Linked DNA regions of Cricetulus griseus. The main gene of each other region encodes a partner of the protein of the gene in region 2 in a complex. Links are inferred from orthologs where the notes say so. Each region holds a gene or a part of one and is shown on either strand. Other genes may lie near its edges. The genes, in order: Ddx42, Sf3b1 and Sf3b4.

Region 1 (3,648 bases), on a different chromosome or scaffold from region 2:
TTTTGTTTTGTTTTGTTTTGTTTTTCAAGACAGGGTTTCTCTGTGGCTTTGGAGGCTGTCCTGGAACTAACTGTGTAGACCAGGCTGGCCTCCAATTCACAGAGATCTGCCTGCCTCTGCCTCCCGAGTGGTGGGATTAAAGACCAGGCTTTAAGTTCCTAGTTCCTTCCTTCTTTTCTTTTCTTTTCTTTCTTTCTTTCTTTTTTTTTTTTTTTTTGAGTTTAATTCTTAAGTAATGATTTTGTTGTTGTTACTTTGCTTTTGTTTTGAGATGGGCTTTCTCTATGTAGTCCTGGAACTAGCCCTGTAGATCAACACTCTGCCTCGTGAGTGCTAGAATGAAAGGCAAGCACCACCATACCTTGTCCTTCAGTAATGAGTTAAAAATTAAAATGTTTTATATGATGCAACATGATTTAGATTTGCTTTAAGTTAAACAAGTTGAGGGGAGTGGCAAAGTGTTGCTGTATGGAAGCTGAGTGGTAAGTATATGGGTATTATATGTTTAATCATTTTTGTTTTTTCAAAACAGGGTTTCTGTGTGTAACTGCCCTGGCTGTCCTCGAACTCAGAGATCCTGCCTGCCTCTGCTTCCCAAGTGCTGGGATTAAAGACATGCACTACCAGTGTTTTTTGAATTTTTTTTTTTTTAAGATTTTTATTTATCATGTATACAGTGCATGCCAGAAGAGGGCGCCGGATCTCATTACAGATGGTTGTGAACCACCATATGGTTGCTGGGAATTGAACTCAGGTCCTCTGGAAGAGCAGTCAATGCTCTTAACCTCTGAGCCATCTTTCCAGACCTGAAATTTTTTTTTTAAGATTTTGTTGTTTTGTTTTGGTTTTAGTTTTTTTGAGACAGGTTTTCTCTGTGAAACAGTCTTGGTAATTCAGGAACTATGTAGACCAGGCTGGCCTGGAACTCACAGAGATCTTCTGCCTGCCTCTGCCTCCTGAGTGCTGTGATTAAAGGTGTGCCCAACCACTGGCTGCATTTTTTGCGTTTTAAAAGAAACTCAAGTTAGTTAGACTGGAACACTTAAATGATTGTTTAAGCAGTCTGCATAGGGTGGCCTGAGATAATTTTGGGACCTGGTAAGAATAAGTTTGATTTCGTGCTTACCTACATGTGTCCTTATGTGGTAATTTCTCTGAATTGGAATTTGGAATTCAGTTAAGGTTTTTAGAGAATTCCTTGGGCACCAGTAGATGACTCAGCCAGTAATGGTGCTTGTCTCTATTAATGAATTCAATCCCCAGGACCCACATTGTCGAGGGTGAGAACTAATTCCTGGAAGTTGTTCTCTGACCTTCATGTGTGTGCCGTAACACATGGAAGTATGCATGTATGGATACGCACACAAATACAGTAAAAAGAAAAAAAGAAAATTCCTTAGATTACTTTGGCAGTTGTTGTCTAATGTGTCTTGGTTAGGGTTTCTGTTGCTGTGATAAAGACTATGACCAAGCCGGGCATTGGTGACACATGACTTTATTCCCAGGAGACAGGGGCAGGGGGATCTTGTGAGTTCAAGGACAGCCTGTTCTACAGAGTAAGTTCCAGGAAAGCTTCAAAGCTACAGAGAAACCTTGTCTTGAAAAACAACAACAACCACCACAAAAAACAATAACAACAAAAGATAGTTTACTCTTCTGGAAATGATAGGAATAAGCATAAAAAATCATTACAGGTAATTGGGGCCTACAAATTAGATATGAACATACCAGGAGGAGTTGGTGAGCAATGTGCTTTGAGAAAATAGTAAGTTTTAAGCTGTATTTGACATACTAAAGGAAGACCCAAAGATATCAGGGACTGTCCAGGGCTATTCCCATGCAGTAGAAAATATAATACCTAGTCTGTGAAATCCCCTGTGGCACCAGTGTCACAATTGCTGCTTATTTTATTTTCTTTCAGGCAAATGAAGATGTGACACAGATTGTGGAGATACTCCATTCTGGGCCTAGTAAATGGAACTGGCTTACCCGGCGTCTGGTAGAGTTTACTTCTTCAGGGAGTGTCCTCCTGTTTGTTACTAAAAAAGCCAATGCTGAAGAGCTAGCCAATAACCTTAAGCAGGAGGGTCATAATCTTGGTCTGCTCCATGGGGACATGGACCAAAGTGAAAGAAACAAGGTCATTTCAGATTTTAAGAAAAAAGACATCCCTGTCCTGGTGGCCACTGATGTTGCAGGTAAGAGTATGAGTTTCACTATAACCTTAGTCTTTAATATATTCGTGTTACTCTACCCTGTTATAGGACCTATAGTGTCCAGTCAGGCAGATGGAATGCTCCCATTGTATCCTATATAAAGCAGCAACTCTGGCCACTTTCATCTAGTGTTCTCTTTCATTAACATACCCTTGCAGCTAGAGAATGCTCGGGGGAAACTTCTATGTCCTATGTCTACTATGCTGCTTATCTTACATTCGTTAATCTCAAGCTTTGGCTTTATTTGCTGAGTTAAGCAGCTACCCTTAAAAATAAGTATTTTTAGCTGGGCAGTAGTGGCCCATACCTTTAATCCCAGCACTAGGGAGCCAGAGGCAGGAGGATCTCTGAGTTCAAAGCCAGCCTGGTCTACAGAGCAACTTCAGGACAGTCAGAACTACACAGAAAGAAACCCTGTCTTGAAGAAAAAAGAAAAAAGAAACTAATACTTTGGATCTACAAGGAGGTTCATTGGGTACTTGCCAACCAATCCTGACAGCGTGGCTAGTTATACAGTGGAAGGAGAGAACTGACTCCTACAAGTTTTCTTTGCCCTCTACGTACGCTGTGTTATGTGCATGCATAAACACACACACACACAGGTTCTAGGTACTGAACTCCAGTTCTTATGCAGATGCACTACTAACTGAATCCCTAGAGGGCTAACTTGTGTAAATTTTTTGTTTTTGTTTCTTGAGGTAAGTTCTTATGTATTACCCAGGCTATATTGAACTCTAGAGCCTCTTGCCTCCATCTCCCAAGTATTGGGATTAAGAGTGTGATTCCAATAAATTATCCTGTGTGTGTGTGTGTGTGTGTGTGTGTGTGTGTGTGTGTGTGTGTGTGTGTGTGTATTACTCTCAATAGAGTGAACTACTCTTTATTTTTGGCTTCATACCCATGAGCTTTCGTGGATAGATAGGAAAATGCATGCTCTTATAACTAACATTTCTAGGTACTTTGATTTTCTTTTAACTGTAGGTGAAAAGTAAAAGAATCTGAATACTTCTTATTTCAGCCCGTGGTCTGGACATTCCTTCAATTAAGACAGTCATTAACTATGATGTAGCACGAGATATTGATACCCATACTCATAGGATTGGCCGAACAGGAAGAGCGGGTGAGAAGGGTGTGGCCTATACGTTACTGACCCCAAAGGACAGTAATTTTGCTGGTGACCTTGTCCGGAATCTGGAAGGAGCCAACCAACATGTTTCCAAGGAACTCTTAGACCTTGCAATGCAGGTGAGGGGTGGGCCCCTGAAATTAAGAGAAATTACATAGCCAAGTAAGAAAGTTCAGCAGGCAAGTGAGGAAGATAATAAGAGTTTGAAAAGAAAGTGGGCATGAAGGGTGTGGTTTTTGGTTGTTGGAATTTGTGTGTATATTCTTTCTACAGTTTCTGTTGAAAAACTAGTCCTTTCTTTGGGCT
Region 2 (3,648 bases):
TTTATCTACTGTAACATTTCTCGCAGTTTGGATACAAGGTTAGATACAATGATAAAGTTTGGATTGTATTGTGAAAATTAGGTATTGGTGCCTGCTCACACCTGTGTTTGATTGTATAGGTCTTGTGGATGAACAGCAGAAAGTTCGGACCATCAGTGCTTTGGCCATTGCTGCTTTGGCTGAAGCAGCAACTCCTTACGGTATCGAATCTTTTGATTCTGTGCTCAAACCTCTATGGAAGGGTATCCGCCAACACAGAGGAAAGGTAAACCCACTCAATAGATTTTGGTTTTGTTACTGTTAATTAGGACAAGCTAAACTTAATTTACTGATGTGTGTGTATTTTTATACATTTTATTTTTAAATAGGGTTTAGCCGCTTTCTTAAAGGCCATTGGGTATCTTATTCCTCTTATGGATGCAGAATATGCCAACTACTATACTAGAGAAGTGATGTTAATCCTTATTCGAGAATTCCAGTCTCCAGATGAAGAAATGAAGAAAATTGTATTGAAGGTAATTAGTTGTTCCAGCTTATGGGTACATGTTTGTTTTCATAATGTGTATGTTTTGGAAGTTTAAAGGGGCCTTTATAATATTAAAAAACCACAAACTTACGTTGTGTTCTGTCAGTGTTACGTTTATTTTTTACCTTTTAGGTAGTGAAACAGTGCTGTGGAACAGATGGTGTAGAAGCAAACTACATTAAAACAGAGATTCTTCCTCCTTTCTTTAAACACTTCTGGCAACACAGAATGGCTTTGGATAGAAGAAATTATCGACAGGTAACCTTTTATTAAAGTTTGAGTCTCAAAAATCTTTGACTAGTTTTCTACTTACCTAGAATGCATATTACATACTATAATTTGCTTTGACTATCTGAAAATTTATATGTGCTTTATTTACTGTGACAGGAGATAGACTTTTTAAGCCCATTCATTCATTCATTCATTCATTCATTCATTCATTCATTATTCTTTTTTGAGGCCGTGTAGCCTGGAAATTGCTATGTAGACCTCAAACTCCCCAGATCCATCTGCTTCTTATAAGTGCTGAGATTAAAGGTGTGCTCTACTATGCCTGGCTGCTTTTTTGCCTTTTTAAATTTTTTTTTTTCTGAAAAACATGCATTTAATGTAAAATTCCCATGAAACTAGTGCATTTAAAATTTTTAAATGTTTATTTTTCATGTGTGTGGTATGGGTGTTTTGTCAATGTGTATATCTCTGCATCATTTGGTGTGTCTCAGGCCTTCAGAGGTCAGGTCATTGGATCTCCTGCTGTTGGAGTTACAGACAGCCTGAGCCAGATGTCTCCTGATATTGGAATTATAGACATTTGTAAACTACTTTGTGGGTGTTGGGTCTTCTGGAAGAAAAACCAGTACTCTTAAGTGCTGAGGTCTTTCTCAGCCCAGTGCCCAGGGCATTAACAAAGACATGCACCCTGTCTCCCTCAGCTTGTACTTGTGTTTAAATTACATTTAGTCATGGTGTGTGCATGTCCTCCAGTGCATGCATGTTGTGGAGTAAAAGGGCAGCTGGCTGGAGTCCCCTCTTTGAGTTGGATTATGGGGATCAAACTCATTGTCAGGTGTGACAGCAAGTTGAACCCTCTCTACATCCCATTTTTTCCTTTTGAGACAAAATTTCACTTTGCAGCATAGGCTGGTTTCACTCATATTCTTGGTCCTTCTGCCTCAGCCTCCCAGCTCACCAGTAATAAACTATGAGCCAATGTTTTTGTCTGGTAGATTGAGGATTTCTCCATTTTGCTGAGACACAAGTATAATTTTCTTAAGAGTTATTTTTGTTTTGGAGATAGAATCTCATGTTTCTTAGGCTGGCCTGGACCTTGCTAAATAGCCAGACTGGCATTGAACTTCGAAGGTCTGCCTCAGCTTTTTGAGTGCTAGGATTCTAAGCAGGAGCCACCCACCATGTTCTGACTGCTCTGACTGTGAAAGTTGGAAAAGTAATAGATTTAAAAGGGTTTTGTGTTTGTCTTTTTAGTTAGTTGATACGACTGTGGAGTTGGCAAACAAAGTAGGAGCAGCAGAAATTATATCTAGGATTGTGGATGATCTGAAAGATGAAGCTGAACAGTACAGGAAAATGGTGATGGAAACAATTGAGAAAATTATGGGCAACCTAGGTGCAGCAGATATTGATCATAAACTTGAAGAACAATTGATTGATGGTATTCTGTATGCTTTCCAAGAACAGACTACAGAGGTAATGGCAACTAATCATTTATTTCTAGTTTCTACATTTTATTTTGTGTGCATGTGTGTGGGTGAAAATTAGAGGCAGCTTTCCGGAATCAGTTCTCTCTTTCCACCATGTGTTCCCTTGGAGTCAGGCTTGGGGGCAGCCATCACGATGGTCATCATAGCTAACTATTGTGCCACATTGCAGTTGACTCTTGCATATGTAGAAAACTTACTTTAAAAGCAGGTATCACTTAAAAGTAATTTAAGTTTTAGCATTTTCAGTACCAGTTTCTTTTACCTCAGATTTTTGGATTTGATTTAAAAACAACAGCATGTTTGGGTGGTTGGTAAAGATTGAATGTTATTTAATCAACTTTCAGTTAAAACTAAATTTTGTATTTTTAGTGATTTTTGTTTTTTAAATATTGTAACTTAGCTTTTCTCTTTTAGGATTCTGTAATGTTGAATGGCTTTGGCACAGTAGTTAATGCTCTTGGCAAACGAGTCAAACCATACTTGCCTCAGATCTGTGGTACAGTTTTGTGGCGTTTAAATAACAAGTCAGCAAAAGTTCGACAACAAGCAGCCGACTTGATTTCCAGAACTGCTGTTGTTATGAAGACTTGTCAAGAGGTAATCTATTCTACCAGGTTTATACATACATACATACATACATACATACATACATACATACATACATACATACAGCAGGTTTAATTTGTTTAATGGAGAAAATATTGTTTTAAATCATTCTTTCATTACAGGAAAAACTGATGGGGCACTTGGGTGTGGTACTGTATGAATATTTGGGTGAAGAATACCCTGAAGTATTGGGCAGCATTCTTGGAGCACTGAAGGCTATTGTAAATGTAATAGGTATGTGATTGCCTGACTGACTATGTTTAGATTTGGCTTTGTCATTTTCTTTGTATTTTGAAAGTAAAATATAAAGTCGTATTTAGGATTTTTTTTTTTTAAACACTTCAGGGTTGTCAGAGAATGTCATAAAAGTCCCTGTTGTCCATTTGTATTTTACTTGAAAACCTTAAAGGGGAAATTTAGGATATACTAGGTATGGAAATGGTTACTGGGAGAGAGGACCCTTCTAGAACTAGTGCATCAATTAGAAAAGTAATCCAGAATCTTCTGGAAGGGGAGGAGCAACCCTGAGGTTGTGATTTAATTTTAGAAATGTTCTTTATCTACTCAGACTTCTATGTTAAAGTATTTTGATAGGTTATTAGGATTTTTTGTTTGCTGTGAGTTCAAAGAAGAGGACAGCAAACTAGCCTGTCTTTTCACCATAAGTAAAGACACATCTATGTAACCATCTTGGGTATGGAGAGAGAACTTTTTATTTTTATTTTTTTTCAGGAAGTAATGAATGCAAAAACAAAGGCAATCCTGTGTTTAAAATCTCTTGTAGCTGGACAGTGG
Region 3 (3,748 bases), on a different chromosome or scaffold from region 2:
GAGAGAGAGAGAGAGAGACAGGGAGCCAGGAGAAAGGGGGCAGGGGTGGAGGAAGAAAGAGAGAGAGACCTTTGTGCCCTTGTTTTCCCCTCCCCAGATGGGCTCCTCGGCTCTTACAATCTCTGGCCTCCAGGATGAACTCTCTTGTCTTCAGGAACTATTAAGAAAACTGACACCAAGAATATCTCCTGAGGATCACTGCAAGAAGAGAGATCCAAATACCATCCTCTCTCAGATCCGTTGAGACTGCTAGCATTCTCGAAGGCAGGGCAGAGGGAATGTGGAGGGAGTTCTGCTCATGTTTCTTTGTATCTGACCTCAGTGTTTCAAGCTTTCACATTCCAGCCCATAAAGGAGCTCACTCCGTGAGTGAGTTTCTGTAGCAGACATGGAGCTACCAACCTCCAGCTATTTTTGTTTCTCTGGAATAAGAAACAAAACCACTTCAGAACGTTTCCTTTTTTTCTCTGGCAATTCCATGCCGTTTAGATGACAAACTGTCAAAACTGTGAGATCAGAGACACTTCATCAGTTCCAACAAGATGCCCCAGAGACTTCATTCTCAACCCCTCACACTGCTTTGAAATCCAGTTTCTTAGTCTTCTGTGGGAATGAGGGAAATAAGGGAGACACCCTGTCCTCCCACTGTATATTTTTGTAGTGGTATTTCTATTTAAGGACTTCATTAAAGCACAGTATTTCTACACATTGCTGGTATTGTTTCTTGTGTTGAATGAAGATCTCGGTAAAGTGGTTGGGGGAGGGTATGCACTGAGAGAAAAGCACCCAGATTATTGATACAGAAATTAAGGACCCAGTTCGAGGCCAGCCTGGTCTACAAGAGCGAGTTCCAGGACAGCCTCCAAAGCCACAGGGAAACCCTGTCTCGAGAAACAAAACAAATAGATAAAAAAGAAGTTAAGGACCCAAAACAGGAGGGGCTATTCCGACGAAATTTGGAGAAAGAAGCACCAACCCCTTTTTTTTTTTTTTTTTTTTTTTTTGAGACAGGGTTTCTCTGTGTAGCCCTGGCTGTCCTGGCCCGGGAGGAAGGCTCTCTGAGTGTCTCTTCTGTGGGAGGGGAGGGATGCACGGTGCTGCCGAGTGCTCCCGAGGCTGAGACTGACCGTGAACACACGCGGCACCGTGCCTCAGATGACCCCACGAATAGTGGGGCTCAGACACTTCCGTCTGCACTGAGGTAACAGGCTGCGTCCCGAGGCAGCCGGCCCGCCCCTCCCTCCCCCCAGCACGCTTCTCTGCGTCACAGAACATACAAGGCTGAGATTAGGGCTTAAATTTGGGCTGGGGAGCAGCGGGACTGCCTGACAGGCGAGAGCCGCGTCGTCAAGAGGGGCCTGAGCGCCTCGGCGCCAGCCGGGCGTCGTGAGAGCTCCACCACAGCGTCTTTCCAGACACGCGTCAGACGCCTAAGATGGCCGCGGCCACTTCCGGCTCCTCCCCTGCCGCCCGCCCCGCCCAATGGGAGCCTTGGCCCGGAAGTGGAAGTCGTAACAGGTCAGAGGGCGGTGCTGCCGCTTAGAGACGGCGGGAGCCTCTTCGCCATGGCTGCCGGGCCCATCTCCGAACGGAATCAGGGTAATTGGGGGAGAAGAGCCCAAGGTGGGCCCAGGGAGGTGGAGGGCAGATGAGTGCTAGAAGCGTTAGCGCCAGCGTGGGAAACTAGGTTTCCCCGGGAAGGCCCGCGTCTGGGGGCTGGGCCTGGGGGCCGGGTTGAGGCCGAGGCCTGTGAGGGTGATGCCTCTGGATCCGGTTCCCGTAGGCACTCCCGCTGCTACCAAGCGCATCATTGAAACTCCACCGGGAAGTACACAATCCGCAAGAACGCCACATTAGACTTGAGCGGGTTTTTTTATACTAGGCAGGCAAAGGGTGATCTCAGGGTTTTAGTTACTTTTTTTTTAAATTTCTGTTTTCCTTTTAACTCGTGACCTCGTCCTTACCTTCTGCTTTCTTGCTTTAGATGCCACGGTGTACGTGGGCGGTCTAGACGAGAAAGTGAGCGAACCACTGCTGTGGGAGCTCTTTCTCCAGGCAGGGCCGGTGGTCAACACCCACATGCCAAAGGATAGAGTCACTGGCCAGCACCAAGGTGAGTATTTACGGCAAGAAATGACTTTACTTTGGGTTAGCGGCCCCTGAAGCATCTCAACACTAGTCACAGCTATTTTGGAATGGTTTCTTTCTCTAAGCTTCAGTTGGCAGTTTGTTTCAGGAGTAGTCTCTTAGCTTTAGTTTGAAGTTGGGATTCTTCCAACTTGTTCTTTGTTTGGAGGCTGGTGAGTTAGTGTGTCGTTTTGAATCTCTTCATCTGAGTAGTCTTTTCTTCAATTCCCCAGGCTATGGCTTCGTTGAATTCTTGAGTGAGGAAGATGCTGACTATGCTATTAAAATTATGAACATGATCAAACTCTATGGGAAGCCCATACGGGTGAACAAGGCTTCAGCTCACAACAAAAACCTGGATGTAGGGGCCAACATTTTCATTGGGAACCTGGACCCAGAAATCGATGAGAAGCTGCTTTATGATACTTTCAGCGCCTTTGGGGTCATCTTACAAACCCCCAAGATTATGCGGGACCCTGACACAGGCAACTCTAAGGGTTATGCCTTCATTAATTTTGCCTCCTTTGATGCTTCGGATGCAGCAATTGAGGCCATGAATGGGCAGTACCTGTGTAACAGACCCATCACTGTGTCTTACGCCTTCAAGAAGGACTCTAAAGGCGAGCGCCATGGCTCAGCAGCTGAACGACTTCTGGCAGCCCAGAACCCGCTGTCCCAGGCTGACCGTCCTCACCAGCTGTTCGCAGATGCACCCCCTCCACCCTCTGCCCCCAATCCTGTGGTTTCATCCCTGGGTTCTGGGCTTCCTCCACCAGGTAAAGCTTTTAGTTCAAACTACACCAGTGAGAGGCCCTTGGGAGGGAGGGTCAGAAGGCAGAAGAAACCCTGAGGGAGTAAGCTGTTAACTCAGCGGGCAGCGAGAAAGGGATGAGGAGTGCTGGTGGAAGGGATGCAGATGTTGGGTTTCTTTGGGAGACTGGAGTTTAGTGTGCTGGAAGGAAGCTAGAGCTCTGTAAGACAGTCTTTCTTTCTTCACAAGATAGACTCTCGTTTCTTGTATAGGCATGCCTCCTCCTGGCTCCTTCCCACCTCCAGTGCCGCCACCTGGAGCCCTCCCTCCTGGGATACCCCCAGCCATGCCCCCACCACCTATGCCACCTGGGGCTGGAGGACATGGCCCCCCAGCAGCAGGAACTCCAGGAGCTGGGCATCCTGGTCACGGACACTCACATCCTCACCCATTCCCACCAGGTGGGATGCCCCATCCAGGTAAGTGGTCTGCTGGGAAACGGAGATGAGCTTGTGAGAGTGATTCTGTCACTGCTCTTTGTCTTGGGTGGAAATAGTCTAGAGTCTCCCTTTCCTTCAGAAAATACTTCTGTGTGTACTTCAGCTCCCTCCCGTCTTGTCTCTGGTTTTTCCTTTTTCTGCAGAATAGCCTGTTCTTACTGTTTTTACTCTCAGCCTCTCCTCTGATTCCCAGGAAGGAGCTCAGTTGCCAGATCTAGGCGACATTTTTGCTTATTTTTTTTTGTTGTTGTTTTGTTTTAGGGATAAGGTCTCTCTGTGTAGGATCCTGACTGTCCTGCAACTCATTCTGTAGACCAGGCTGGCCCTGAACTCAGAGATCTGCCTGCCTCTGTCTCCCAAGTGCTGGGTT

The links.
Region 1: the proteins of Sf3b1 (region 2) and Ddx42 are in contact, whole or in part, in a cryo-EM structure (PDB 7EVN), measured with the Homo sapiens proteins. The link is inferred for Cricetulus griseus from reciprocal best matches to the Homo sapiens genes SF3B1 and DDX42. Residues at the interface, in NP_036565.2 of Homo sapiens: Pro509, Pro510, Lys513, Arg517, Thr520, Asp557, Arg558, Tyr561, Lys562, Asp565, Leu566, Arg568, Pro569, Ile583, Ala607, Ile610, Ser611, Arg614, Glu622, Arg625, Asn626, Arg630, Pro646, Phe647, Ala650, Val651, Lys653, Ser654, Lys655, Lys656; in NP_031398.2 of Homo sapiens: Asn68, Glu71, Glu72, Tyr75, Phe76, Glu77, Asp78, Glu79, Glu80, Glu81, Asp114, Pro115, Leu116, Glu117, Phe119, Met120, Val123, Ala127, Asp130, Met131, Arg133, Leu134, Gly146, Ile147, Arg148, Ile151, Glu152, Glu153, Glu154, Asp155.
Region 3: Sf3b1 (region 2) and Sf3b4 share a complex: the UniProt entries of both Homo sapiens proteins name them as parts of the SF3B subcomplex of the 17S U2 SnRNP complex. The link is inferred for Cricetulus griseus from reciprocal best matches to the Homo sapiens genes SF3B1 and SF3B4.

Annotation. Positions count from the first base shown.
Region 1 is NC_048600.1:119,188,694-119,192,341, forward strand, and holds part of Ddx42 (ATP-dependent RNA helicase DDX42), read left to right. Parts: intron 1-1,921; coding exon 1,922-2,198; intron 2,199-3,234; coding exon 3,235-3,461; intron 3,462-3,648. UniProt on the Homo sapiens protein: ATP-dependent RNA helicase that binds to partially double-stranded RNAs (dsRNAs) in order to unwind RNA secondary structures. Unwinding is promoted in the presence of single-strand binding proteins.
Region 2 is NC_048595.1:409,443,185-409,446,832, reverse strand, and holds part of Sf3b1 (splicing factor 3B subunit 1), read left to right. Parts: intron 1-119; coding exon 120-265; intron 266-368; coding exon 369-515; intron 516-658; coding exon 659-784; intron 785-2,011; coding exon 2,012-2,233; intron 2,234-2,661; coding exon 2,662-2,844; intron 2,845-2,975; coding exon 2,976-3,087; intron 3,088-3,648. UniProt on the Homo sapiens protein: Component of the 17S U2 SnRNP complex of the spliceosome, a large ribonucleoprotein complex that removes introns from transcribed pre-mRNAs.
Region 3 is NW_023276806.1:60,351,389-60,355,136, reverse strand, and holds the start of Sf3b4 (splicing factor 3B subunit 4), read left to right. Parts: upstream 1-1,441; 5' UTR 1,442-1,565; coding exon 1,566-1,599; intron 1,600-1,984; coding exon 1,985-2,113; intron 2,114-2,360; coding exon 2,361-2,903; intron 2,904-3,150; coding exon 3,151-3,357; intron 3,358-3,748. UniProt on the Homo sapiens protein: Component of the 17S U2 SnRNP complex of the spliceosome, a large ribonucleoprotein complex that removes introns from transcribed pre-mRNAs.